4 linked regions of the Oreochromis niloticus genome follow. The protein of the gene in region 1 purifies or fractionates together with the protein of each later gene. This does not show direct contact. Links are inferred from orthologs where the notes say so. Each region holds a gene or a part of one and is shown in the gene's direction. Other genes may lie near its edges.

The links.
Region 2: the proteins of cdc5l (region 1) and top2a purify together in Homo sapiens (affinity purification with mass spectrometry; 3 studies listed by BioGRID, with this or other methods). This does not show direct contact. The link is inferred for Oreochromis niloticus from reciprocal best matches to the Homo sapiens genes CDC5L and TOP2A.
Region 3: the proteins of cdc5l (region 1) and fus purify together in Homo sapiens (affinity purification with mass spectrometry; 4 studies listed by BioGRID and IntAct, with this or other methods). This does not show direct contact. The link is inferred for Oreochromis niloticus from reciprocal best matches to the Homo sapiens genes CDC5L and FUS.
Region 4: the proteins of cdc5l (region 1) and snrpd1 purify together in Homo sapiens (affinity purification with mass spectrometry; 4 studies listed by BioGRID and IntAct, with this or other methods). This does not show direct contact. The link is inferred for Oreochromis niloticus from reciprocal best matches to the Homo sapiens genes CDC5L and SNRPD1.

What each region holds. Positions count from the first base shown.
Region 1 is NC_031978.2:5,910,874-5,917,902, reverse strand, and holds the start of cdc5l (cell division cycle 5-like protein), read left to right. Parts: upstream 1-4,025; 5' UTR 4,026-4,207; coding exon 4,208-4,252; intron 4,253-4,721; coding exon 4,722-4,825; intron 4,826-4,995; coding exon 4,996-5,157; intron 5,158-5,293; coding exon 5,294-5,421; intron 5,422-5,615; coding exon 5,616-5,715; intron 5,716-5,851; coding exon 5,852-5,978; intron 5,979-6,083; coding exon 6,084-6,175; intron 6,176-6,405; coding exon 6,406-6,550; intron 6,551-6,665; coding exon 6,666-6,857; intron 6,858-7,029.
Region 2 is NC_031973.2:19,732,775-19,740,202, forward strand, and holds the start of top2a (DNA topoisomerase 2-alpha), read left to right. Parts: upstream 1-4,428; 5' UTR 4,429-4,599; coding exon 4,600-4,617; intron 4,618-5,346; coding exon 5,347-5,493; intron 5,494-5,635; coding exon 5,636-5,726; intron 5,727-5,836; coding exon 5,837-5,900; intron 5,901-6,014; coding exon 6,015-6,160; intron 6,161-6,375; coding exon 6,376-6,473; intron 6,474-6,565; coding exon 6,566-6,778; intron 6,779-7,084; coding exon 7,085-7,258; intron 7,259-7,428. UniProt on the Homo sapiens protein: Key decatenating enzyme that alters DNA topology by binding to two double-stranded DNA molecules, generating a double-stranded break in one of the strands, passing the intact strand through the broken strand, and religating the broken strand.
Region 3 is NC_031969.2:32,751,479-32,758,935, forward strand, and holds the start of fus (RNA-binding protein FUS), read left to right. Parts: upstream 1-4,454; coding exon 4,455-4,467; intron 4,468-6,530; coding exon 6,531-6,555; intron 6,556-6,759; coding exon 6,760-6,923; intron 6,924-7,001; coding exon 7,002-7,185; intron 7,186-7,457. Other genes in the region: uncharacterized protein LOC100698127, read right to left, coding at 451-515. UniProt on the Homo sapiens protein: DNA/RNA-binding protein that plays a role in various cellular processes such as transcription regulation, RNA splicing, RNA transport, DNA repair and damage response. Binds to ssRNA containing the consensus sequence 5'-AGGUAA-3'.
Region 4 is NC_031985.2:21,348,558-21,355,534, forward strand, and holds the start of snrpd1 (small nuclear ribonucleoprotein Sm D1), read left to right. Parts: upstream 1-3,954; 5' UTR 3,955-4,095; coding exon 4,096-4,109; intron 4,110-4,669; coding exon 4,670-4,746; intron 4,747-6,977. UniProt on the Homo sapiens protein: Plays a role in pre-mRNA splicing as a core component of the spliceosomal U1, U2, U4 and U5 small nuclear ribonucleoproteins (snRNPs), the building blocks of the spliceosome.

The sequences.
Region 1 (7,029 bases):
TGTAAGATGCAAACTGAGACCGCATACACTGAGAGGCACAACCAAGTGGTGAGGAACATCTGTGCCACATACGGACTAAAAGTCCCCAAGTCCCTATGGGAGACACCACAAAGGTGACTGACAACAACAGAGGTAAGGTCCTGTGGGACTTTGAGTTCCAGACAGCAAGCAGCTGTGTATTTCCTCATCCACTCAAATGGTCAGCAGGACACTGCATCAGACCTTGTGTCTCAGCTGTACTCTGCTGACCATCCTGCACATTTCTTTTGATTGCCTGATAACCTTTAATGACATAATGTCTCGACATATGCAAGTCTTGTCAGAATGACAGATGCCACCTGGTGTTGGTTGTTTTAAAGTTAAAATGGTTAAAACCTTTTCTTAATAGTAGACCGTTATTTTTGGTTTAACATACCTTATTTGCTTTTTCATTTCAAAATTTAGGAGGGATAGACTTTTTATTATGCTTTGAATCCAGGAACTTACATATCAACGGTTCCTATCTATTCGAAACTGGTTGAGAAACATATTTTCATGCTACATGTAACACCAATATGGAATAATAGATATGCTCTCATTAAATGAAAATGTGTATACACAGAGAATATGTTTTCCAAAGGTCTCCAAAAGTTGAATCTGTTCATCTGGACGTAGCGTTTTGTGGGAGAAATGTTTCGTCACTCATCCAAGTGACTTCTTCAGTCTCAGCTGACTGCAGGTTTCCCCAAACCTTATAAACAGGACATTTGCATAATGACTGAAACCACCCCACTGAAGGAACAATGGGCTGTGAGGTCAGTTCCTTAATCATAATTATGCAAATTCCCATGACCATTGATCAACAATCACTGACCAAAACCCACTGATCAAAGAACACTGATCAATGGCCATGAGTCCCATTCACAGAGAGTTGGGGAATGGCTGCAATCACAGCAGTGTAAGATGGCGAAAGATGTACCCTTAGGCCCCCTCCTCGATTCAGAGATGGTCTTTCCCTTTTCACGTAAAGGGCCTCCTTGACTCCGCACTCAAACCAGCGTTCTTCCCTGTCCAGGATGTGTACATCCTCATCCTTGAAAGAGTGTCCTCTGGCCTGTAGGTGTAAATAGACTGCAGAGTCCTGGCCTGACGAGGTAGCCCTTCTGTGTTGTGCCATCCGCTTCGCCAGAGGTTGTTTGGTTTCCCCGATGTATAAATCCTGGCAATCCTCCTGGCACTTAACAGCGTACACTATGTTACTCTGTTTGTGTCGGGGGACCCGATCCTTGGGGTGGACCAGTTTTTGGCGCAGCGTATTTTGGGGTTTAAAAGCCACAGAGACCCGGTGTTTCGAAAAAATGCGTCTCAACTGCTCCGATACTCCTGACACATATGGGATCACCACAGGTTTTCGCCTGGGCAGCGGTTGTCCTTCTCTCCTGGATCGGCTGGAGCTTTCTTTGGGTGTCTTTCCAGCTTTGACAAAAGTCCAGCTGGGATAGCCACATTTACTCAGGGCCTTCTTGATGTGCTGTTCTTCTGCCTCCCTGGCCGCTGTGTCTGTGGGGATGGTGTTCGCTCTGTGTTGTAGTGTCCTGATGACACCCAGTTTGTGCTCCAGTGGATGATGAGAGTCAAACCTTAGATACTGATCCGTATGTGTAGGTTTACGGTACACGTCAGCTTTTAGATGTCCCCCATTACTGATGGAAATCTCACAGTCTAAGAAGGCTAACCTGCCACTTTTCATATCCTCCCTGGTGAATTTGATGTGTCGGTCCACCGAGTTAATGTGATCCATGAAGTGTAGTACGTCCTGAGATTTGATTTTCACCCAGGTGTCATCCACATATCTGAACCAATGGCTTGGTGGTGTTCCAGGGTAGGATAGCAAAGCCCTCTTTTCCACTTCTTCCATGTACAAATTGGCCACGATGGGTGAAACTGGGGAGCCCATGGCACACCCATGATTCTGCCTGTAGAACTGACCCTTGTATGTGAAGTAGGTGGAATGAAGACACAGTTCCAAAAGCAAACACACTTGGTCGATGCTGAGAGTGGTCCTGTTGCTGAGGTTGGTGTCATCCTGTAATCTCTTACGGACTACCTCCAACGCTTCCGTGACTGAGATGCAAGTGAAGAGAGATGTAACGTCGTACGAGACCATGGTTTCATCTGCCTCCATAATGACATCTCTCACCTTCTCAACAAAATCCAGGGTGTTCTGGATGTGGTGTTCAGAGCTGCCCACCAGCGGGTTGAGGATTGAAGCCAGAAACTTGGAGATGTTATAGGTGACCGAGTTGATCATGCAGACAATTGGTCTTAAAGGTGCACCCTGCTTATGTATTTTCGGTAAACCATACAGACTTGGTGTAGACTCCCCTGGGTACAGCCTGTGGTATGAGGTCCAGTCAATAGCCTTGTCTTGTTCTAACTGCTTCAGACAGTCTATCACCCTCTTCCTGTAACCACTTCCTGGGTCTCGTTTCAGGGGCTCATAAGTATTTTCATCACTGAGTAGTGACAAAATCTTCTCATGATAGTCTTTCTGGTTAAGCAATACTGTGCACCTACCCTTGTCTGCCGGAAGGATGATAATGTTGCTGTCATCACTAAGTGATGTGAGTGCCTTCCTCTCCTCCATGGAGATGTTGGATGCTGGGGGCTTTGCATTGCTGAGATAGGCCGAAACTTTCGTCCGTAGTTGCTCTGCTTCCACTTCTGAAATATTGTTGTTACGAATTGCTGATTCTGTGGCTGTGATCAGCTCCACTAGCGGGATTTTTCTCGGTGTGACAGCAAAATTCAACCCTTTAGCAAGGATGTTTTTCTCTGTTTGGGTGAGCTGTCTGTCAGACAAATTCTTCACCCACTTGTCCACATCCTCCATGTTGCATCCTTGTCTCTTCTGGCCACTGAGGACACTCTCCGTATTTTGCGGTGGTTTCCGACGTACAACAAGTAAGTCGAACTTCCTTTGTTGCCTGGTCTTAGACTTCTTGTGCTGTGCTAGACGAGCCTTCTCAGTGAAGTCAAAGACCTTTTGAAGAGTATTCTCATCTAAAAGCATAGTCAGTCTCCGTCGGATCCGCTCCTCTTGAGATTTTAGCATGTCGATGGTAAAATTTGTCTGCCTCACCCGTTCATTAAGCAACTGATGCTGTGCCTTCTGGAGGATTTTTGTTGCCCGGAAGCCTTTAACTGAAGAGCTCATTTGCAGACTTTTAGGAGTAATCCTGTTTTGTCGGCATCTGAGGCTGAATCTCAGGTGGTTCCTGTAGTCCGCCATCTTACGTGCTGTTTGCTCATACTGAAGTACAAGCTTTAGGCAGTCCTTGCCAAAGTGGGTTAAAACGTCTTGATGCATTCTCAATCATCCAGGAAAGTAAATCTCCAAAAGTTGAATCTGTTCATCTGGACGTAGCGTTTTGTGGGAGAAACGTTTCGTCACTCATCCAAGTGACTTCTTCAGTCTCAGCTGACTGCAGGTTTCCCCAAACCTTATAAACAGTACATTTGCATGGGAATTTGCATAATTATGATTAAGGAACTGACCGCACAGCCCATTGTTCCTTCAGTGGGCTGGTTTCAGTCATTATGCAAATGTCCTGTTTATAAGGTTTGGGGAAACCTGCAGTCAGCTGAGACTGAAGAAGTCACTTGGATGAGTGACGAAACGTTTCTCCCACAAAACGCTACGTCCAGATGAACAGATTCAACTTTTGGAGATTTACTTTCCTGGATGATTGAGAATGCATCAAGACGTTTTTTTCCAAAGGTGTTTTTAAAAATTAATTCATTTTTTATTTTCTTATACGAGTTATTTATGTTTAAATGTTCAGATTTATATATACATTTTTATTACAATTTTTAATAATTTTATAAGTTAGTAAATGTATTTATTTATTTTTTAACATGTATTAATTCTATGGTGAGTGCTTTTCATAGATATTTGCCTTTGTCTGTTTTATCAAGTTGTGAAAGGGGAGGTGGTAAAGGAAACTGTCATCGAATTTCGTCATTACTCGTCGACCACATTACCCACAATTCATGTGGTGCACCCGTTGTGAGTTTCCGGTATGGTGCATGTCGCTTTTTCCCTCGCAGCGCTTGGTTTGTAGTTGGATTTTTGTTTTGTTTTAATCTAAAGCTACAAAACACCACAGCTGGATAAGAATCACTTATAGCATTTCACTGAAGGAGGAGATACAACGAAGCCGCCAAGATGCCGCGAATTATGATTAAAGGAGGCGTCTGGCGCAACACTGAGGTACGTGTTTACATGGCTAGCTTGGTTAGCATGATGCTAAACTCCGAAAGCAAACCTATGGTCTCGAGTTAGCATGAAGCTAGCTACTCACTTAACGAATTTATCCCGTGTGGCATTTAAAGTTTATTTAAATTATCGCCAGCTGTGTTTTAAGACTTTATTTCGTGCTTGTGTTGAGTTGTATGCACGAAGCTTTTTAATTTGCACTTAAACATACATGTTTACAGTTAGCGAATATTTGGCAATCTAGATGGCCAAAATAACAAACCACAAGACTTCATAAATTTTTATAAGTGAGCAAAAGATAGGGGATAATATAATTGTTTTTCAGCACTGGGATGAAAATGAATCAGCCCACTGCGGATTGAGGATAAAGGGTTTTGACATGTTTAGTCTGATTAAATCATTTGTCATTTAGTACATCCATTTAATTTATGGACGTCTGTTCCTTCTTTAAAAATTTATTTAGGATGAGATCCTCAAGGCAGCTGTAATGAAATATGGGAAAAACCAGTGGTCCCGTATCGCCTCCCTGCTGCACCGAAAGTCTGCAAAACAGTGTAAAGCCCGATGGTGAGTTTTGAGTCAGAGATGTGTGATGTGTCAAAAACATGAGATTAATTAAACTTCTACATACATTGATGTTTGTTTCTTCTGTCTGTGATTTTTTTTTTAGCTTTCAAATCTCTCTTTAAGAAGAGCGAAATAAAGACCTTCTCCTCTGGCTTTGTTTCTGTCTGTAGGTACGAGTGGTTGGACCCCAGTATCAAGAAAACAGAATGGTCCAGAGAAGAGGAGGAGAAGCTGCTTCACTTGGCCAAGCTGATGCCCACCCAGTGGAGGACCATTGCTCCTATCATAGGAAGGACTGCTGCTCAGTGTCTGGAACACTACGAATACCTGCTGTATGTTTATCTCTAAAGACACATTTATTCACTATGTTTTGTAATTCTGTGGCTTTTCACCTTGTATGTCCAGGAGCATTCATTGTTGCTAATCATTGCTGATTTGTAATTGAGATGCATTTTGTGTTTTATTCAGGGACAAAGCAGCTCAAAGAGACAATGAGGAGGAAGTGGGAGATGACCCCAGAAAGTTGAAACCAGGAGAAATTGATCCCAATCCTGAAACAAAACCTGCCAGACCTGACCCTGTGGATATGGACGAAGGTACAAAAACACACTGTCAGATGCTGTCAGATTTATCGAGCCAACAAGAGAATGTGTCCTTGTGTTAAGAATGGATTTGCTTCCTAGTTATCTTGTACATTTTTATATTTAATTATTTAAGATTAATCATAACAGTCATATGTGGTAACTAACCAATGTGTTTTGTGTGTCTGTCTGTCTTCATCGGTCTGTAGATGAGTTGGAGATGCTTTCAGAGGCCAGGGCTCGTTTGGCCAACACCCAGGGCAAGAAAGCCAAGAGGAAGGCCAGAGAGAAACAGCTGGAGGAAGCCAGGTTCAGCTAATTTAATGCTTTTACAATTGCCCTCAGACAAGCTGTATTTATCATAACTTTACCTCTTACAGAGCAGTTGACATGTAATAATAAAATGATCATATGTGACTCTTTTTTTCCTGGTGTCATACTGTAGGCGGCTGGCTGCTCTGCAGAAACGCAGAGAGCTGAGAGCAGCAGGAATCGATGTTCAGAAGAAGAGAAAGAAGAAGAGAGGAGTAGACTATAATGCTGAAATCCCTTTTGAAAAGAAACCTGCACTGGTAACCACAGCTTTATGTGTTGTATCCTTAAAAATAACCCACAACATCAGCAGTGAGATTAACTTAATCTTACAGTAGTAATTGTTGTCTTTTGTTTACTTTAAGGGTTTCTATGACACCAGCATGGAGCAGTATGATGCTCAGGAGCCTAATTTCAAGAGGCTCAGACAGCAGCACTTGGATGGAGAATTACGCAAGTTAGTATCACTTTAAACTACTGGTGCTTTTCTGTATGCTAACATGGCTCCTTGTTTATGTCACTTGAATACTTTCCTTGGGTCTTGACTTCTCCCAGCAAAGGCGTGAGAATGTCACGCTGATGGTATATAATATAAATAATAAGGATCAAAATGTGTTCCACATTTTTTTGGTTTTCATCCATTCGTAAGCCCTGTTGTGTTTTTTTTTTAAATTATTATTATTATAGTGAGACTGAAGAGAGGGAGAGGAAGAAAGATAAACAGAAGATAAAGAAGAAGAAGGAGAGTGACTTGCCATCTGCTATCCTGCAGACCAGTGGAGTGGCTGAGTTTACCAAAAAACGTTCCAAACTGGTGTTACCCGCACCACAGGTAACCACTTTTTTTTTAAAATTTTATTACTTCTGGATTTTATATATCAATATAATGTACTTGTTATATTGATAACAGGTAGTACATTAAGTTCTTTAATTGGCTTTCTTCACAGATCAGTGACGTCGAGTTGGAGGAAGTTGTCAAATTGGGTGTCGCCAGTGAGGTCGCCCGTCAAGCTGCCGAGGAGAGTGAAAGCGCTAACTCCGCCTCCTCCACCCTCCTCTCAGAATACAGTGTCACCAATACCATGGCAACAGGGCTACGAACCCCACGAACCCCTGCTGCTCAGGACAGAATCATGCAGGTAATAAAGACACTCAAAAGCAATGTGTCACATATGTCTTTTTCAATCTCACATAATCCCGTATGTGTGATTTCAGCATATATGTGATATCTCATATTAATTGATCCATGTAATTACAGAGATGCTAAGCTAAATTGTCCCACATGAATAAAGAGTAAAGTCAGTCAAAATT
Region 2 (7,428 bases), on another chromosome or scaffold:
TTCAACAAGTGTGATTAAATAACACTGCATCACTGATTGTTCAATTTTAAATGTTAAGTTACTATTGTTGCCCGCAGTTGCCTGCAAACACAGGATAGAGGTGGTCTGAGCTGCCCTTTCAAACTAATAATAATTCTTAGTCCCTCACTGTATTCACAATGACAGCCAGGGAGGGGTGTTCACCTTAAAGGTCATGTTGTGGACCTCCAAGGACACAGCTGGAAATGTGCTGGTCAAAACATGACCCAGAAAGCAACCAGAGGAGAAAAAAAATCTGTATATTAATGCTGTGAATGTTAGACGTTTGCTCTAAGATGTTATTTTCCTTCCTAAACACTGTTGTCTCTAATAAAAAGTGTTGAAGGTTTAAATATTGAGTAACAGCTCCTTCTTCCTCACATCCAGCACGGCCTGAGCTACTGAGATTTTGTTTTCTACCTTAAGCCATTCACTGGCGGTCGTTTTATCTGTCACACACCTGGAAATTGACTGAGCCAAAATATTCACAGTGGACCTAAAGCTGTAATTTTGTTTTCATTTTAGTTCATTGTCATCATTTTTTTATGAGCTCTCTCTTATCCTGCTACTCGCAGGGAAAAGTCTTTGCCAGGAAATAATTACACACACTGTGAGGGGAATTTAATCAAATATAAGTAAAATCCAACAGAAACCACTGCCTGACACTTACTCCTCGTAAAGAGCATTTGGTAGCACTTTATATAAGGGCCTGCTAAGGGCATAATTTCCAAAATCTGAAATTATGATGTAATTATATTCACCCGCAAATACTTAGGGTAGCAAGTCAAGTTTTTACAGAAAATAAGAAATGATTATACTGTAAGTAATTTTAAGACACTTGTTATTACAGTTTTATAGTGCAGCAGATAGTTTTATGTTCAGTGGTGGACAACAAAATTGGTACATATACCCAATGCTTGATGAACCCCATTTCTAATAAAATAAACAAGACTTTTTAATTGTTCACAGTATCAAATCACATCATGATTCAGTTTTCTTTATATAGTGCCAAATCACAACAACCCAACTCAACAAGTCAACTCAAGCAACTTTCATTCAATAATACAGAGAAAACCCCAACAATCATGACTCCCTATGAGCAAGCACTTGGTAAAAGTAGGAAGGAAAAATCCCTTTTAACAGGAAGAAATCTCCGGCAGAACCAGGCTCAGAGAGGCAATGAATCTTCTCTGTGGTCTTCCTCTTTTCCTCCTGGTTTGCAGCTCCATATTCGGCATCCTTTGTCCAGTTTATCGACTATCCCTCCTCTGCACACGTTCAAACCATCTCAGCTCTGCCGCTCTTATTTTCTCTCTAGTCTGTTCGACCTGAGCTGTTCCTCTGATTTACTCATTTCTAACCTGTCCATTCTAGTCACTACCAATCAAAATGATTCCAGTGCAGGGTCATTATTAACTCCAATATCTTTGGCTTATCTTTTGCGGTCTATGATGGATGCAAAGCCAAAATAAAGAAAATTATCTTTTTTTTCCACTCTTGGCTGTCACATCTTTCACAAATCCCCAAACGCTCTCCTGGACAAGCTCTGACAAGCTTGTCAAGTGCTCAGTTGGAGCAGCTCTTTACCTGTCACACTAATATCCGTAAAGGAGCCCTTTCCTTGTAAGACACTGTTCATCAAGCCACATCAAGCATCTCCTTCAGACAGCTATCAACACGTCTGTGACACTCCAAGTTTCGTTTTCTCCCACCGTCCCCAGCAGTCAAGCTTCAGAAAACACAGAGCCATCAATAAATAAACAGGAAGGCAGGTGGTAGCTACTGAGAGTGTCCATCTACTTTGCAGGGTGACTATTTTTGGATGCTAAGTACTTAGCATTCCTGTTTCAAACTGCCCACTTCTGCTAGATAAGAGAAAGTCTGTGTGAGACTTACACAGTGTTAAAAAATTATTTGTCCTCATTAAAAGTAAAAAGTGCAACAGAAATATATAAAATCAAAGGTTTATGTATTCTATTAATCATTAAAGAAAATATTCTTGATATTAGATAGATAGATAGATAGATAGATAGATAGATAGATAGATAGATAGATAGATAGATAGATAGATAGATAGATAGATAGATAGATAGATAGATAGATAGATAGATAGATAGATGAAATAGTCCAGATATATAATGTGGAATGTAATAAATAATGTTTGAGTGTCCAAAAGACACAAAAATCCCTAGAAGGCCACAAATGTTTATTTTTGCATGTTGTTTTGTATGCATTTAACAAATGTGATATGTTGATCTGATCAAAATTCTGCACCCTTATTGTAAAGGTACCACATAAACTGTCTGTTTTCTTGTTTAAAAACAGTCTTTTTTAAAGCTACCATGTCCAACCCTGTGTGCATTGAAAGTGTGAGGGCAGCAGGCACATTCTTTTAGATTTCTTAAAGGAGATAACTCAATCTTTTTGGCTGAAAATACCAAGCAAAAAAATATCAGATAAACAGTTCTGTGTGCTCGCTCCTTCATTCATGTGTGCAGCTGTGGGTGTATTAGTGTACTTGCAATCCACTACATCGACCGGACCGAGGCAGCTCTACTCAAGCTCCTCCGCCCTATTATTACCATGCTAAGGTCAGATGAGTGGGCAACATAGCAGAGGAAGACAGATAAGAATGGTAGAACGGTTGGATAAATCAGGTTACTGCATTTCCATTGACTGATAGCCACAAGACAAGAAATATGAAGAGAGATGGTTGCTTAGAGCTGAATAAAACTGTGCTGCTGAAGTAATGCTTTCTTAGCATCACATATGAATCTTTTTATCCCAGTAGAATAGAGGATTGGGAAAAAGTGAAGGTCTATCTGATAAATGACTAAAAAACACAGTGTTGGGGTATCGTGCAGCTACATAGGAAGAGTCCAGGACAGAAAGGAACAATATAAAAGAAGAAATATGATATTGAGCACTAGACAGATTTTAAGCAGTTCCTGTATTTTATGCAAGTAAAAGAGAGACAAAGGACAGAAAGTGGCAGCGGTGGTGATAAATCAAGTGAAAGATCCAGTACACTCTAGTGTAAAAAGAAAAAAGAAGTGAGCACCATGGTCCCAGAAAAACAGAACACTTTTCTTGCAAGGCAAGTTTTGTACATTTAAAAGGCCACTCATGCTTTATATCCCAAGTGACCAAAAAGTGTCAAAAATCATAACACCAGACAACAAAATCCATTTCCTTTTTTCCCTTTTTCTTCACATCATGTCCTCTTTTTCTCTGCAGTTGGGGAGTTGGAGGAAGGAAAGTGACATCAATCAGGCTATGGGCCCTTTGCCAGCGTCAGTGGGGGGCTGAGCCTGCTGACCCTGGATCTCAGTATTAGTGAGCTTTTGTTGCATGAGCAAGCCAGTCCACAATCAGTGCACATCTGTAATGCATTTGAAAATCTTTCTTTTAGTTGAATTGGTATGAATGTTTTTTTCCTATGTGAGAGGAATCTCTTACCTGTAAAACTTTGTCTGTTATCTAGATGAATACATGAGTTCTGGGAAATATGCTGTATATGAGATAAAATAAGCATAGATGTTCAAGCTCCCCTCCTCAGATATGACCTCTGATTGGATTGGATTATGCAGCAACAGAATAAAAATATATAATCAGACCCAGAAGGAGACATACTGATAGTATTTACTCTATGTCCAATCTGATATGATTACATCTTACATCATTATTCTCTTGGAGCCTCAAATCACTGATGCTATTAGGGGTCCTTCGTTGTGTAATGACCTACCTAAGTAAATCTGTCTTGCCTCATCAGTGTCTTCATCTCTACTGAAAAATTTATTTTAGTATATTTTTTTAAATAATGTTTTGCCATAAAGGATGAGGTATTTTAGTTGATTTGTAATTTCTTTATAACTTCGTCTTAGTTTGTTCCTTTATTGTGTGTTTCTGGAAAGCGCATTGTTATGATAGTTACTATTATTATTATCATTGTATTACAGTTGATAAAAAGTAAAGATTCACGTTTGGAACTGCTCAGTCAGCCTTAAAAACCGAGAAACGTGAAAACATCAGAGAGAAAAAGCTTCGTTTGTATTTGTAGAACAAAAATCCAAGAACATTGAAAACAAAATAGTAATAATAAAATATAGGTCACATTTCTTCATTGGACACTATAAAAATAGAGCTGACAGGATATTTTTTATCCAAAACAAGGAAACAGGCTATTTTGTTTCCCTCCTAACTCTTTTCCTGTCTGTACTTGAATTCCCAGCACGTAGGTTACTTCTTTTTGAAAGCTGATTGGCTGTGATACAAGAGATGGGTGGGCTCATGCCACTTTTACCGTCTACGATTGGTTATTTAATTGAAAAAGAACGGATTTGCTTCTCTCATTGGAGGAATTCGTCACGCGCTCAGTAGTATGATTGGTCAATATAGCTGGCGGGAGATGTTTCCACAAAATTTCGAATATTCAAACTGGGACCTCAGCTCAGGCAGCGAAGGAACGTTTTAGTGCAGGCAGCCGTTATTATTGGGGGTAGCTGGGATTTATTTAGCTTGTTGCAAACCTAGAGTGTACTATATTTCAAACGAAGGGCTTTAACATTAAATACAAGAAGAATGGCTGAACCGTTGAAGGTAACGTTACTGTCGCTTTCATATTTGCTGCTAACGTGTTATTAGGCTTACGTGCTAACCTGCTACAACTGTAAGTTAAACTTCTAAGAAACAGTTAAAGGCACTTGGCTAACGTCGTGAGCTGCTTAATGTAACAGTGCCCGCTGTTTAGACGTAATAATGCACTACTTGCAGAGTGTTCCTTTTAGTAACTTAACAACTAGTCCTAACTCTTGGCACAGCAGCTTGTAAGCATTAACTATAGCTAATGCTGCTAAGCCAGTTGAAATGGTGTTACCCCTGCATTCATTCACCTCGCATTATTTATTGTGTTTGAAATAAAAACTGTCCTTAAATACTGAGCTAAACCCTGTGTCCTTGAGCGTCAAATGTAATCAGAGCCAAGCAACTTCCAGGGGGGTGTTTTCTCCCCCCCGTACATTTGCATTGTGTTTTTTGTGCAGTAAAACTGAAGACGTATATAACCGCAGGCATGCAAAACTGTCAGCAAGTAGCATTATAGATGATGTTGATCATTATATTAAGGTTTCCTGCAGTACAAAGATAAGTCCCATCTTCGTTACGGTGCAAGGCCTATAAAAGATATCAGTATATTGATATTATTTAAAGCTTTTCATTTATTTATTTTTTTTGCACCATGTGAGGGAGAATTGCTTTCGTTATCCATAATGACAATAAAGAGTGTTGAATTATGAATCTTAAAAGATAACCTTGTGTCGTTTTCATCAGGCCTTTTTTGAGAACAAGCCGGTGGAAAAGCTGAAGAAGGATCCTAAGCGGCTGTCAGTGGAGAGGATCTATCAGAAGAAGACGCAGCTGGAGCACATTTTGCTCAGACCGGACTCCTACATAGGCTCTGTAGAGCCTGTCACTCAGGTAAGAAGTTTTAAAATGTCTTTAACAGTCATGTGTAGATTTAAAGCAGGTTTTTTGGGGGGGGAGTTTTGACTGCACAGTTATGGTTCTTATTAAATGAACGCATGCAAGCTCCTTGTGATTATTTAACTTCTTTCATTAGCAAATGTGGGTGTTTGATGAGGATGCTGGACTGAACTGCCGTGATGTGACATTTGTGCCTGGGCTCTACAAGATTTTTGATGAGATCCTTGGTAAGTAAAAAGCTCTTGCAATTATAGATGTCCATGACAAACCTTTATTAAACAATGTTTTTGCTCCAGTAAAATGTAGTAAAAATAGATTTTACTTTCTCTTTCCGTAGTAAATGCAGCTGATAACAAGCAGAGAGATAAGAGCATGTCCTGCATCAAGGTCAACATTGATCCGTGAGTTGTGTATAACGGTGCACTACCAAGTTTAAGATATTAAAATACAAAGTAACTCTACTACAGCTACCAGCTGACAAATCAAGCGCTTGTGTATGTTTTTGTTCCTTTTAGTGAAAACAACACCATCAGTGTATGGAATAATGGGAAGGGTATTCCTGTGGTGGAGCACAAAGTGGAGAAAGTTTATGTACCTGCTCTCATCTTTGGACAGCTTCTCACTTCAAGTAACTATGATGATGACGAGAAGAAAGTCACTGGTAAGATTGATGAATTTGAGTGCTTTAGATAATACTGATTGTTTTCTGTCATTCTTAATGAGAAGATATTCTGTATAATTACAAAGACTCTTTTCTACATCATTATGTCCAACACAATTAATGGTGAAATTTTAGCGTTTTATTAGGAAAAAAAAAAACAAATTTAATGTTCAGTCTGTTCCTAACTCTATAAATGTTATATAAATGTTCTTCAGGTGGACGAAATGGATACGGTGCCAAGCTTTGCAACATCTTCAGTACAAAGTTCACTGTCGAGACTGCTTGTAAACAGTCGAAGAAGTGCTTCAAGCAGGTATGAAGGAAGGTCAATCTCATTTCCCACTTTAATTTTTATGTCTTGATCAGGGAGAATGTCATTTTCTGTTATGCCCATGTTTCCCATAGACTTGGTATGACAATATGGGCAGAGCAGGGGAGGCTAGCATCAAACCGTTTGATGGAGAGGAATACACTTGCATCACCTTCAGACCAGATCTGGCCAAGTTTAAGATGAGCATCTTGGACAAAGACACAGTGGCTCTGATGACCAGGAGGGCCTATGATATTGCTGGAGCCACTAAGGGTGTCCGGGTGTTCTTTAATAGCAAGAAGCTACCAGTAAGTTACTGTGATCTTTAAGTGTTAACTCTTAATGTTTTGGAAACTAATTTCATTAAGCTTTTCAATATATTATGCGTGTTTCAAATGTTGACTGAAGACTTAATTCACAAAGTTGAACCTAAAATCCAAAGCTTTTTGTGTACTTATCAAAAGTAGTCACTTACCTGACCTAAAAATATTTCTAGTAACTTCATTTAATGAAATATTTGATGTTAGCAAGACAAATCTTACATGTTCCATCCTAATTTGTTCAGGATAAAATGCATTTAAACTGATATAAACTGTATGAACTTCACACTTAAGGTTACAGGTTTCCGTAGCTATGTGGACATGTATGTGAAAGACAAGGTGGATGAACTGGGTGGTCCTCTTACTGTCATCCATGAGACTGTCAACGAGCGCTGGGAGGTCTGCCTCACCATGAGCGAGAAAGGTTTCCAGCAAGTCAGCTTTGTCAACAGCATTGCCACAACAAAGGTAATAACTCAGTGCATTGGATTTGATCTAATGCATATATTGTGTCTATGTGTAGGCTGTTGTTAAATCAGTAATTTAAATGTTTAAGTTTGTTGGAAAGCTGTGTAAATTTACATCTTTGAGCAGCTCTAAAATAGTTTAAGAATGATTGAACTAGACTGAGCTCTCTT
Region 3 (7,457 bases), on another chromosome or scaffold:
TCAAACTCAACAGGCCCAACAAAACAGAAAGATGCTTCATCCAGAACCAGGAAACAAAAGGTCAAATATCCAAAAGTAAAACAGTAAAAGACTAAAACAATAAAAGTCTTGGGGAGAGGGAACAGTGAAAACAGACGGGAAAGAAGGGAGGAATACACAAGGAAACGATAAAGAATAAACCGAAACGTAACCCTAAACCTGAAACGCATCTCTGGAAAGATCACACAGTAAAAACAGGAAGCAAAGATGGCGTCACAAGAACTAAGAAACAGGACGATAAAGAAGTAAGAAACAAGAATAAAAACTCGGAACAACAGAATGACTCAAGTCCAAGTTCCCAGACCGCTGACCGAGACACGACCACGGCAACCCCGACAAACAAACAGGAAACAAACTGCCTGTTTCTTCCTGTTGACAGTAAACATGCAGCAACATCACAAGTGTGGTCACCTCAGCACAGTCACCACACAGGACGCTCTCTGATACAGAAAACTGAAGGAGATGTGCTCGATCATTACAGCAGGAATCACACCTGCTCTGTAGTTACTTACCAGTGATGATGAAGCTTGTTTCTGTGGAAACATGTTGCCACGGTGATGAAAACAGACGGGTTTACTTTTACAGTTTCTCTCAGGAAAGTGATCCTCAAGTGCAGGCCTGCCTTTTACTCCTGGACTGTTAGATGGAAACTAAATAAAATATATTTACTGTATTTTCATAATAAAAAATTTCACTGATGAAACTGAATGTAGTTTATTTGCTCTCACAGGTCTGCCACTATCCAAATAAAGGCACTTGGTCCTTTACCCATGCATGTTCAATGCAGTGATGGCCGCTTTTATGGATTCTTCTTTCGCAGTGAGATCTAAAGGACAGAGAAACACCCCAAACAATTCTCAAACTAGGTTTGTCATTACTGTTTTTGCCGTCATCATAAATTCACTGACTTTCCTTCTGAAGAAAATGAAAAAAGTGATTAAAAATTATTTTTATTATTGTTGTTATTAAAATGATACTGTTTTACTACTATTACTATTAACCCTCTACTGCATAGCGTTGCCCTGAGGCAACAAACCACATTTTCATGCCTTACACTGGCCCTTCAAAAAAAACCAACTTTTTTTTTTCAAATAATGCTACCAGGCACATCTCTTTCCAATAAAATGATGAGTTGAAGGTGGTGTGACTTATATTTGGGGGGGGGGGGCAGGACCCCTTTCTGCAAGCTGCAGTACATGAGAGACATCTCCATTCGGAGACAAGATAAAGATCACTATTTTACATGTTTATAGTGAAATAAATGTATATTAAAAAAATACTTGTATGTGCATGAATATGTTAAGAAGCATATTTGATTGTTTTTTCTACTTTTTAAAATTTATTTATATAGTAAAACTGTTAATTTTCATTCGTTGCCTCAAGGCAACACTGCGCAGTTAGCCCAATTTTTTTCAGGCAATATAGTGCATTTGCATATGTGTGTAGAGATGTGTTTGTGTGCATTTATATGATCATAGTCAATGCTTTTTACTTTACAATCTACCCATAATTACAGGACATGGATGTAAATACCTTTTATGCAAGGAAACCAAGGGAATGTGCACTTTCTGTCCTCAGAAAGTGAGGACAGAGAGCTTTCAGGGAGTGACAGTGAAGTAGAGGAGTATGAGGTTTGAGGGACACTTAGGAGCTCAGGGGTCAGGGGTCAGTTGGTAAAGTAACTGTGTCTGTGTGTGTGTTAGTGCCCACATAGCAAGCAGGTCTGGCCAGGATCTGGTATCAAGTTGGCACTTTGAGTAATCTGGGAGAGTAGAAAAGCGCTATATAAAAATCAGTCCATTCACTGTCTGAACAGTTTCGGCATGTTACTTTTGCACTGTTTTGCATGTTCCGGCACATGTTGTTATTGCATGGCTTGATTAATATACTACTATTTTGTGTTATAAGAAATCACATTTCAGAAACACGTTGAGATGATGCATCATTTTTGCTATTACTGTCATAAATTCAAACATTGAAGGATTAGACATAAATAACCACAAATTAATAATAAGTCAGCTTGCCGATGATACAACAATCTTTCTAAAAAATAAAGAACAAATTCCATTGGCCTTAGATACAATAAAGATCTTTTCTGATGCTTCTGGACTACGCCTGAACCTGGACAAATGTGAACTCATGAGTATCCACAATTGTTCTCACTCTTCTTTGTACAATATACGTGTCAAAAATGAAATCAAATATCTTGGAATTTGGCTAACTAAATGCATGGCTGATAGCGAAGAAAAGAATATTCAGAATACAACTGACAAATGCAAAAAAACCCCTAAACCATTGGCTACAGAGAGATTTAACTTTGGTCGGCAGGATAATGTTGACCAAGGTTGAATCTTTGTCCAGATTAATCTATCCAGTTTATTCCCTAGCCATCCCACCAAGGATTATAAAAGACATCAATAAGCTGAATTTTAATTTCATATGGAAAAATAAACATCATTATATCAGTAACAGGGACTTGATAAAAGACTATGAAGAGGGGGGTTTAAAAGCAATCGATTTTGAAATAATGAATGGCATCTTAAAGATTAATTGGCTCCGATCTTTTTTAAAAAATGATAATGAGATCTGGTTTTTGATACCATCTCATATTTTCAACAAAGCTGAGGGGATCCAATTCCTTTTAGTATGTGATTTTGAAATTTCTAAACTGCCCATAAAACTCTCCAAATTTCATCAACAAGTTTTGTTAAATTGGAAATTAATGTTTAAACATAACTTTAGTCCCCACAACGTTCCATTGTGGAATAATAGGGTGATATTGAATCGGGGGAAATCTATGTTTGTGGAAGAATGACAAAACAAATTTGGTCTGTGACATATATAATGGATGAAAATGGAGATACACTTGAATTAAACAGGTTTAATGAGAAATATGACATGAGTTGCTCGTTCGAGCTGTACAAAAAGGTTTCACAGAATATCCCAATAGTCCTAGTCAATACGATAAAGAACAATTTTTCAAATATACCGACTCCAAATTTACATAAAATTAAATTAGATGGTCTTGACTTGGTTAATGAAAAATGCAATAATCAGTTTCTGAGGAGGTATTTGGTTAACATCTTATATCCAGGTAGGACAAAACATACACTCATCTTTAACGTAGCTTGCTATCACCAGTGTGTGAATGTGTGTGTGAATGGGTGAATGACTGGATATGTAAAGCGCTTTGGGGTCCTTAGGGACTAGAAGGCGCTATATAAATACAGGCCATTTACCATTTTAAAGATTATAACAAATCTGAGATCTCGTTGATCAGAACCAAATATTTAAAATTTCCAATTCCCCCCAAATTTAAAGAAGTCCATTTTAGAACTACAAAAAACTATTTACCCCTCCAATGAATTTATGAGAGACAGATTTAAATTTGTGTTAGACAACTGTTATATTTGTAAAACAACTTCGGAAACAACAGAGCACATGTTTTATGGGTGTGTGACAATCCAGAACTTATGGAAATCCCTCCATGTCCTGATATTGTCCCAGTATGGAAATATTGATTTTTGGTCTTTTCAAAATATTCAAATTGGAGTAATCCTTAAGGACAAAAATAGTGAGTTTTTAGTTAACAATCTCATTATTATAACAAAGTATTACATTCATAAATGCTGATATGCTAAATCCCCCCCTTCATGGGCTGCTCTTAAAAACGAACTCTCCCTGTTCCGTAAATCTCTGAAGCTAATAAATAAGCCCCAAGCAATCAAATTGCATAGATTTTTAGAAGAGTTTGATTTTTCTTAGCCCCTTATTTAAGTTATGTGTCTTGTTTATGGAACCTCACTTTTAGAGATTTTATGATCCCCCTTGTCTCCTTTATTTCTGTTCCTTGTTTTTCATTTTTTTTTATTCTTTTTTATTGTTATTTATTTATTTATTTAATTTTTGTATTGGTTATTCATTTTTATTATATTATTATTATTATTATTATTATGTAGACGTGTGTGTATAAATGTGTGTGTTTGCATATGTATGTATGTATGTTTACTTTCAGTCATTGTCGATTTCATTGATTTCATTGTGGTGTACCAACTGCACTGTGGCAATGATGTGTATTCCTCTGATTGGGAGAAAAGAAAACGGAGGTGCGATTCTGTTCTGAATGATTCAATATGTCGCTTGTCTCTTTGAGCTTGTCATTGTTATTGTTCTAAATAAAGTTCATTTAAAAAAAAAAGAAAAAAAAAGCTGATGCACCATTTCCCACCCGATATAAAACTAAACAGCATCGATACTGCTGCGCTCCCCCTGGCGGCCGGCGGAGGAACAGCAGCTGAAGACGGCAGCGCTAGTGGGTCGAGCTTCGTGTCGATTCGTCCTCTTCTTCGGTTTAATCATCCAACGACCCGCTGTTTGACCGAGAGAAAGGCTGAAGCGGCGCTGTCTCCGTGTAAATGGCGTCTAACGGTAAGAGAAACTGGTAAATCTGTCCGGTGTCTGGGCGTCGGAAGCGGTTAGCTAAAGATAGCATCACCTTCACCTGCCGGTGAACAGAGGACAGCTAGCGGCTAGCTGAAGTTTAAATGGCTCTCTGGGGGCGTGGCGTCCATCCTCACATTTAATTCATGCAGGCCTTACGCCACCGTTTGTCCGGCTGCAGGACGCCTCACCGCCTAGCTTAGGTTAACTGAGTAATACCGGTGCCTGCTCCGGTCCGGTCCGGTTAGCTCGCCGTTAGCCCGGTTTTGCTGCTGACCCAGTTTCTGGTGGCTCACTGCGGTCTCGAGCAGGGAAACCGCTCCCCTTTGCCGATCCGCTGCTTTAACCTCTGGCCTCGGTTTATTAAAAGCACATCAGAGCGGAGACCGAGCAAAAACCAGCTCACCTACCTACACCGGACATCCAACTCAACACAAAATAATGAAAGACATTTCCTTATTCATTTTTTGGCATCTGTGGGCTGGATTATTAATACTGTGAGGTAAAGAGCCTGCGACAACACAGAACAGTCACATGGCTCCCTGTGAGGAAAGGTCCTGTTAACAAGAAGAACCCTGCGTTACAACCAGGATCAGGGAGGGGCAGCCATCTGCCTGATGGGGCTGAGGGCAGGGAGCAGCAGGCTGGGTGTTTGAACTGGAGGGTAACCGACTTTAACAGGGAGGACTTTGCTATTCCAGAAAAACACAAAACAGAATAAATAAACAGGTGTACATATTTCCAAACATATAGGCACAGGACACTCAAAGTTTAGAGTTATAAAAGTGCGACTGTATCTGTGTTTGATTGGATCACTGAACTCACAACACACACACTAGGGTACAATATCCTCGTCACTTTTCCATTTGTGTTGCCATTTTCATGCAGGGTCATGTTTTAAAGCTCACTGCACACACAGATGAGACACAGAGATACTTCTGACCTGCACAGGAAGCTCTAAACTGCTGTAAACCGAATCATTAAACTGAGCTGCACTGCAGTAGCTTATCAGTGATAAGGGTGTTTATGTTTTTCACGGGGCGATCGTGGCTCAAAAGTTGGGAGTTCGCCTTGTAATCGGAAGGTTGCTGGTTCGAGCCCCGGTTCTGACAGTCTCGGTTGTTGTGTCCTTGGGCAAGACACTTCACCCGTTGCCGTTACTGGTGGTGGCCAGAGGGCCCGGTGGCGCCAGTGTTCGGCAGCCTCGCCTCTGTCAGTGCGCCCCAGGGTGGCTGTGGCTACAACGTAGCTTGCCATCACCAGTGTGTGATGTGCGTGAATGGGTGGATGACTGGATGTGTAAAGCGCTATACAAATACAGGCCATTTACCATTATCATGTGATTTAGTGTAACTTACGGCTGACGTGTGTCATTAGGATACAGCTGCACAGTGACTTGACTGGGCGGCTCAGGACCCTCAAGGCTCGTCCATAACACCGAGCTGGGGGTAAGAGAGCAGAGATGAATAATAACAAATGATAAAATGCAGAGTGGTGTGAATGAAGAAGAAATGCGTCATGGGAAGCCTGTCGGTTCAGGGTCCCCCGATCCAGTCCTAACTACGTCAAAAAACAAAAGTTTTAAGCATAATCTTAAAAGTAAGATTTCAGACAGATCTGACAAATTTGAATTCAGTGGATTTGGTGTCTGATGTGGTGTTTAATGTATTCATAAATAGTTTCACAGTGTTGGAAATCTGAAACACTTTAAATCCGTCTGTTTTTGTTAATTATGTTCGGTTTGGACAGATCTCCCGGACATGGATTAAATCTACTCCCAGACTGAAAGAGAATAAGTTTTAGTGCATGTCATGAAAACTGAGCCTAAGTATTGCTGTTTTTCATTTCTGGATGATAAAAAGCTGGCCTTCTTAAAAAGGGCTTTTACAGATAGAATATAGTTTATTAATTTAATAATTACCATTAAAATCTGTCTTATATAGTTACTGTTGAGTTTGAGTTTTATAGATTATGTCTGACACTGTTTGGATGTTTGATTGCTATCATTAAAATTATCTTCAATATTAACCCTCTCTGCTTTTTCTCCTCAGATTATTCCCAAACACCTAGCCAGGGGTGAGTTATGTAAATCATGTCTTTATTCATTCATGAAGGTTTCTGTCATTATTAATACTCGTCCAGAAAAATACATTTAGATTCTGAATTTGGGTTAAAACAAGAAAAGTAAGTCCTTGCATTTAACCGTGGAAATAATTTTGTTTTGTAAGTGAATGATAAAAAGTAGATTTGAAATGGTGTATTCTTGGTTGGTGTGTGCAGCTATCCATCCTATGGTGGAGGTGGCGGTGCTAGCCAGGGCTACGGTCAGTCGTCTGGCCCGGGTTACGGCCAGCAGGGCTACGGAGGCTACAACCAGAGCGCGGACAGCAGCTCCAGCTCCTACAATCAGGGAGGCTATAGCGGCTACGGCCATCCTCAGTCAGGTAGAGGAAGCCCCAGCGTCCGCCCAAATCCACAGTCACTGTTTTCCAGTCACCTCTGAATCAGTTTCCTTTTCCCAGGTGGATACGGGTCTCCATCCTCCAACCAGGGCGGTGGCGGTGGTGGGTATGGTCACTCAAGTCAGTCCTACAGCTCCGGAGGCTATAACAGCAGCAACCAGCCGTCCAGCATGAACTACAGCCAGCAGTCGTCATTCTCCGGGTACAGCCAGCAGCAGCAGCCTCCTCCTCCATCCTCTGCAGGGTACGCTCACGTTCACCTCGCCTTTAATTCACTGATTTCAGCCCCGTCTCCACAGGGGTAGTGTTTAGGAGCAACCACAAACCTCACTGACGTTACCTGCGGAAGTTTGGACTGGACTTCATTTTCATTTATATTTTGTTCCATGAGGACATGCAGACAGCATGTGTGAGAGAGGAGGATGCTGGGATAGCAGGAGATGGAGGCAGGTCGACTACTTTAGCGAACCTTCATAGAAGCAGTCAAAAAAAAAATAATTTAAAGGCCGCATTTGT
Region 4 (6,977 bases), on another chromosome or scaffold:
AGGGTGTGTGGCTGACCTGTCGCTGGACGAAGCGCACACACACCCGCACTCACACTCCCAACATGGAAACAGTCCCGCACACACTGCCCCGGCAATGGAGAGAGACTCAGACCTCGTCCTTCAGTTAGAGGAGGACCGGTCACCTGAAGAGTGGACGGAGCAGGAACACCTAGTGTGAAAGTGACAGATATAGAGAGAAAGAGAAGGTAGAGCCGAGATAAAGAGAAAGAAAACCAATCAGAGAGAAGCACTGATGGATGATGGAAGATGTGTGATGGTGGTGCCTGTGTTTGGGGGGTGGAGTGTTTACTGTATGTATTATACTGTATTTAGAGAGGACTTAAAGACCTGTGGACTCTGTCCAGTAAAGATGATGTCATACACGTTTTGATTATTTTTAAGTGCTTTTTGTCTGCTCTAAAAACAGACAAATTATTCTTTGAAGTGTTTAAACCATGAACGGAGAGCTACTGATATCATAACACAACAAAATGCTCCATGTTTTAGTTTAGTTTAGTTTTTTTCTTATTTTAATTTAATTCCCCACCTCTTCTGTTTGTCTCCTAAGTTTGTTCAGGGTGAAGTTTTGGTGCTGTTCATGCTGAAATCCAAACTTGCCTCATTTAACTACACTTGATTCTCACACTAACCCAACCACAAGCCAGTTCAGAGCTCCAAGAGCCAAATATATGAAGATAACTGTAACTTTGGAGCCTGTTTATAGCGTGCTGTACAATCAGAGGGCCTAATTCTGATTTCTGGACCTTCATGCACACTGTGCCTGTTTGTGTTAGTGCCAATACAGTCCTGATCTTACTTTTCAGCAGGCTGGCACAGTCTGCTGCGTAAACGTCACACTATTACAGCACCTCTCTGCACGTGAAGGTCAGAGGTCAGTCCCAGCTGCAGAGCAGCGCCCATAAAGCTGGAAGTTCAGTGGGTGCTTGTTTGCAGAGTGGATTGAGTTCTCTGTTTTTTGTTCTGTTTGGGCTTTTTTTGGGGGGGGGGGGGGTTGTCTTGTTTTGTTTTTTTGCCACTCGCTGCACATTTCAAATGTTTTGTATCAAAGATGCATCTTCATGTTTAATCTGCAGAGATTTACAGTGTTTTTCTGCCACTTTGGCTCAGTACTTGTGCACCAGATCTCACGTAGCAGACAAAATACAGTGGGTATTAAATGAGGTAATGCATCAACCAATCAAATTAATCTGAGAATAATGATATCCAGTATTTAACCTCCTCAGATCATTCATAGTTGCTTTGATTTTAAAAAACTACAAATATCACGGAGGAAATAATTTGGCATTTTAAGCTGAAGACTGACTTCAGAATGATCCTTTACTTTATTAAACCTGATAAATAAAATACAGTCAACAGGTTTAAAGTGCTTCACACAAGTCGTCCAATTAAAATTATTAAATGTTTAACCAATTAAAAGAGTAAACAGTTAGCAGACGGTAAACTAAAATATGCTTTATCACTTTGGATTATGCACAATGTGTTTTAAAGTTTGACTTTACACTGCAGCACATTTAAAAAAGCTGATTTTTCATAAAAAGTGAGATTTCAGCCACTTTCACAAGTTTTGTCTTCACAGAAGCTGCTGTAAACAGTTTTTATACGACTGTAAAATAAATAAATGAGAATATATTGTTAAAACGCTGCTGCACTGATTCATGAATCTGTTTATTGTTTGGTGCTCGTGTGAGTCGGTTCTTTGAGTCGTGCGGTTTCTGAGCCAAAGCAGGCATAACAAATACTGTAAATGTGAGCACATTTTATGGTTTTATGTAACTTTTTATCATATCTTTTCCACTACCTATAGCGCCCTGCAGTGTGCTCTAATTGACGGGACGTGGGTTTGGGTTTCTACTGTATTTGATTCTTTTTATTCCTTTAATTATAGACAAGATGTTTCTTCCTGTTGAGACCAGAGTTGTTGGATCTGTGTGCCTTTTTCTTTGTTTTGTTTTGTTCTGATTGTATTTATCTGTTGCTATTTATTAGTGTCATTGCTTTTTAAACATGCTTCATAATGAAAGATGATGATGAAAACACTTTAATACACTGATTTTGTTTTATCCCCCCCCCCCGGGTGAGTCGCAGCGCCCACATTTTCAGCCCTGAATGAAAAACCTCTTTGAGCCTCTCTGAAGGAATCCGCTGCTTTTCCACGATGATTAAAAAACACTTTATGTGAATGTTGACCTTTGATTTGACACCGCCTCTGAGATGTAACTGCCGGGATGTCATCAAGCCTCAAATCTTTAAACTTTATTGCCCAAATACAATGTTTACAAGGGAACTAAACACTGCCTGCTGTGATGAGGACTGATTTGGTGCTCTGGGGAGTGAAATGAGAATAAATGTGAGGATTTTAAATGTCCTTTGATGGTATGCCAGACAAATACAAAGACACCCTTTGTAAAACTCAAACTGACTCACTTAAAACTGATTTTTAAGCATTTTCTGAAACCTGAAGTGATAAAGTGAGAACTGTGAAGGTGGCTGGCTCATAGCATTGCACGAAGCCCGCTGAGATGTGAGGGCAGCTGTGACATTTCAGGCTCCACTCCCTGAGGAAAGAGGGATTCACGTCAGTGTTTGGGCACGCACTGCGTCTTTGTTTCGCAGAAACATGCTGGCGAGTGTCGGATGTGTGGTCGGGCTGCAGAGGGACAGCGGTTAAATATTCCCTTTTTTGTATGTGTGCCGTCGATGGCGTCACACAAGCAGTTGCATTAGTGTTTATGATTTAGTGCTCCCTCATCTGACATCTTCAGAGTTTAAGAGATTGAAATTGCACTCTCACAGATTATACTTGATACATTCCCAGCTGGTCAAAAGAAAGGGTTTGATGTGTGGCCAAAACTAAAAATGAAAGTGTCAGTGCAAAGTTTACTCTCAATAAAAAGAACTGAAAGTGCACTGCAGTGACATTTTTATTTTTTTGTTTTAGTGCTTTGATTTCTGAACTTCCATCAGCAAGAAAAGGGAACATGTTCCCTGATTAGTCTCCTATTTATCATAATGTACAAGGTAGACTGACATTATTTCACTTCATGTTGCTGTCAAATCCGCAACAGCTCTTAGCATGTACATGGAAATGATAAGTAAACCCATTATCTTTAGGTTTAGACTGCATTTATTTGAAAAACTAACACAGCTGCACCTCAGGAGAGCAGAAGTGTTAGATTTTTCATTTGTTTTTATTACTTTTTTTTAATTGATTTTGGGTTCGGGAAGGCTTTCCTTATTTTAATTTGTTTTCATTGTGTAAAATGCTTAGTTTGATTAGTTTCACGATTTATTTCTGTAATCTGTCAGGAGGAAAATTTTTAGATATTCAGCTATTACAGCACAAATCCAATGCGGCATCTCAGCCTCACTAAGTACGACCAAACTGCCAAAGACTTAAACAAGACACAGCACTGTGCAAAAGACTTGAGTCGCCCTTTGCTTTCTTTATATTTTGCTTTTAAGCAGCCAAACTTCTCGATCTCTGTTCTTGAGGCTTTCTGAAGGTCTTTCAGTTTTTATTTACACCTCAGGGATGCATCTGGCTCTTCAGTTCATACACCTACTTGTCAGTCTCATCAGAAATCTTTTTCACTGGAAGGATGTCTGTGAAGAAGATCTATTTTCCTAGCAAAGTAGAAAGAAATAAGGGTATCTCAAGACGTTTGCACTGTATTGTAGCGTTTTTGGATTATTTGTTATTTAGTTTACACACAGTAAGTTTTTACTGTTGTTACAGTTTACTACATTTATGTTGACACTTTGACAACATATATTATAATAAAAAATATATATATACGCATTTCTTCTATTAAATATTTGCTTCTGTAAAGTTCAATAAATCCAAAGATTTGTTAGATTCGGGGCATATGTTCAAAACGCTGTTTATTCTTCCATCGGTAGGCGGCAGTGTTGTCGTGCAGCGTGTCTTCTTCTTCGTCGCCGTCGCTCCTTTAATGACGTCGTAAGTGCGCGAGTCAAACGTAATTGTTACCACAGCGGCCTGTGTGTGTTTTCACCCGCTCGCTGTAATTTTTCTCTTTGGTGGAGGATTTGTCTCTACAGTCCATCACCATCATGAAACTAGTCAGGTAAGCAGAGTCTGGAATGCGCCATTTAACGAACAGGTGAACGTGGGATGATGGAGTGAGGGTGCTGCGGCTGGATGGGTTTAGATGGAAAGCGGAGAAGAGGAGGATAAGATATGAGCGGGAAGCATCGGGCCGAATGAATGGAGGCTGTCCGGAGTTACAATGCTCACACTCGTAGTTAAAATACACCTGCAGTATTAACCCTGACGCTCGGTAGTTGAAATTAGCTCTATGCATCGACGATTTTTAAACATACTTTGGTTCGTGGACGTTAGCAGACTCGCAGGCCCGGCCTTGGTTAACCTGCTACTCAGCGAACGAAATGAACGTAACCTAAATGTTTAGTAGCAGGAGCACAAAGCTAGTTCAGTATTTGTTTTAGTTATGGCGGTTAAATCTGGAGGGTTTCAGCGGGTTTTCATAAGGTCATCTCACTCCTGGGGTGGTTTTGTTTTGCAGCTGAAAGCTATGCAGCTAGTAGCTAGCTTGAGGCTAGTTTGTGGTTCATTTCCAGGCTGAACTCAAACATAGATGTTCGTCTTCTTCCACGATGCCCACAGGTTTTTGATGAAGCTCAGCCATGAGACGGTTACCATCGAGCTGAAGAACGGCACCCAGGTCCACGGCACCATCACAGGTAGGACTCAGCTGGAGGTGCCTTAACGCTTTTATTAGTTGTGCTGCAGTTTATTAGCTACACTAAGCTAATTCAGTCCACTAACACTGCTGTAGTTCAGTTGTTTCAAAGTAATTTTAATGTAACGGTGGCCTGTAGGGCTCATTTTCAAGCCAACACCCAATTCTACCTAAAGCTAGAGTCCTGTGGAAATACTGGGAAATGTTTTTATATATATATATATATATATATATATATATATATATATATATATATATATATATACATACATACATGTGTCTCACTTAAATATAAGCAAAGTATGCAGGTCCCAGGTTTGCGATTAATCATTTTAAAGATCAATAAACTGGTTTTAGCTGAATGTAACTTTCCCAGCTCCCTCTTTTGGTAAATACAGTGAGCATCACAAAAAGTGAGGTTTGTTCCATAGTCTTCTTATGCTTGTGTATTCCCTTACATGTCCCAATAATACTTCAGTGGGAAAGCACTATTAAGTCCTCCTGTGCATTGTACTTCTTCGCTGCTGTTTTCAATTTCTTAATAAAAGAATAGCAATCATAGCATCAGTATAAGGATTTATAGATGTCACTGAATTCCTGGAAGGAGTTTGCAGAAATTATCGAAATGGAAGACGGGGGATATACAAAGGAGGAAGTGGGGGGGGAAAACAGATCTAACCTCAACAAAGAGTTGTAACCTAAGATATTTTATTTGTTTCTATCAGCTGGCACTGCTTATGAAATGCTGGGATATGACCGCACTGTAATTAGCACATACTGCACCACACACAGCATAAATGTTATAGGACCTAGAAAGATTTCCCACAGAACTCTAAATCAGATAAAACTGTTAGCTTTGCTAATTCTGTGTACTGCGTGACTTCATGTCATTACTCTCCACTGTTAAATGTGCTCCAGTGCAGCCCTCCATAATCCAAACTGCACAGTAGTCAACATAGATGATGCTGTGTTTGTGGGAAGGAAGTAACAGCGGTGTTCACCAGGAATGTTAGAAACACAACAAAGAAATGATGTGCAAATGAAGCATAGAACCAGTACTGAGCCAATTCATCAGTTGCATTGAAAATGGGTTCATTCATTCACAGCTTTGTTTCAGTGACATCTAGTGGTGGAGTAGGAGTCAGCAAAACAATGTGTCGATAATCATGTGCTGATTGTAACAAGGGTTTGTTTGAATGATATAAATACAATTTTGCAAAGGCGGTCAGTTGATTCTGTAAACTTATGTAATAGTTGGAAGGAGGCGTGCTTTGGGAAGCCCAGGATGTGCTGGGATGGTAAGGTGTGCTTATGTACAGGGGATTTGAAGATTTTTATTGAGAAACGATATTTTTTTCCACCATTGTTAGACTGACCTGGCTTCTTTTGCTATTGACAACTTTACAGCTTTCGAAAACACATTCACATGGTTCTGATGAGGGGTTACGAAGCATCTCTCGTTGCATAGCAGTATAAACTTGTTTGGACCAGTCATGTGATTTCAGTCAGGTCCACACCGAAGCAGATGTCACTGATCAAGTGTTTGGTGTTGTTGTTTTTCCTCGCACCGATGCGAGCTTTAAAGCGGCTTGTATTGGAGCATTAGTGTCATACAGTCATCCACTACAATACAGAAAAAAGCACAAAGTACAGACTGTGGCCGCAGATTATACTTTCCCTAGTTTTTAAACACTTCAGCTGTTTATGTCATAACTTCGCCCTTCTCCACGGTTGGCTGGTTGATCAACAGCACATGTGGCCCACAGACAACCTCCTTTGACACGTGCGCCATCTGACAAGAGACGCTTGCTTGTAGGTAGATGAGCTATCCACGTAATAACAACACACCACCTATAAACCTTAATTTCAGCATTTGTCTAAACCGTGTCAGTGATGACAGTCTTCCCTTCTTCCTTCACAGCCATTGGATAAAAGACAGACTTTAGACAAGTGCTTGTATGATGTACAGTGATGAGGGACGTGAGAACGACTGACACAAAATGCAGTGCAGACCCACAGAAAGTGGGCATCTGGTCACCCTTCTTCCATTGTGATTCAAGTCGTCCGCAGTAAAACACTAACAGATTGATGCCTTACAGTTACTGGACTGTTGGCAAATATGTTTGCATTCAGTGCTGACATTTTAGGTTGCTATGTAAAATATTAAAGGAGCTGGGAATAGCTGAAAGATTTAAAACTGCATTTTCTTTATCTGCTTGTCAGACCAACTGA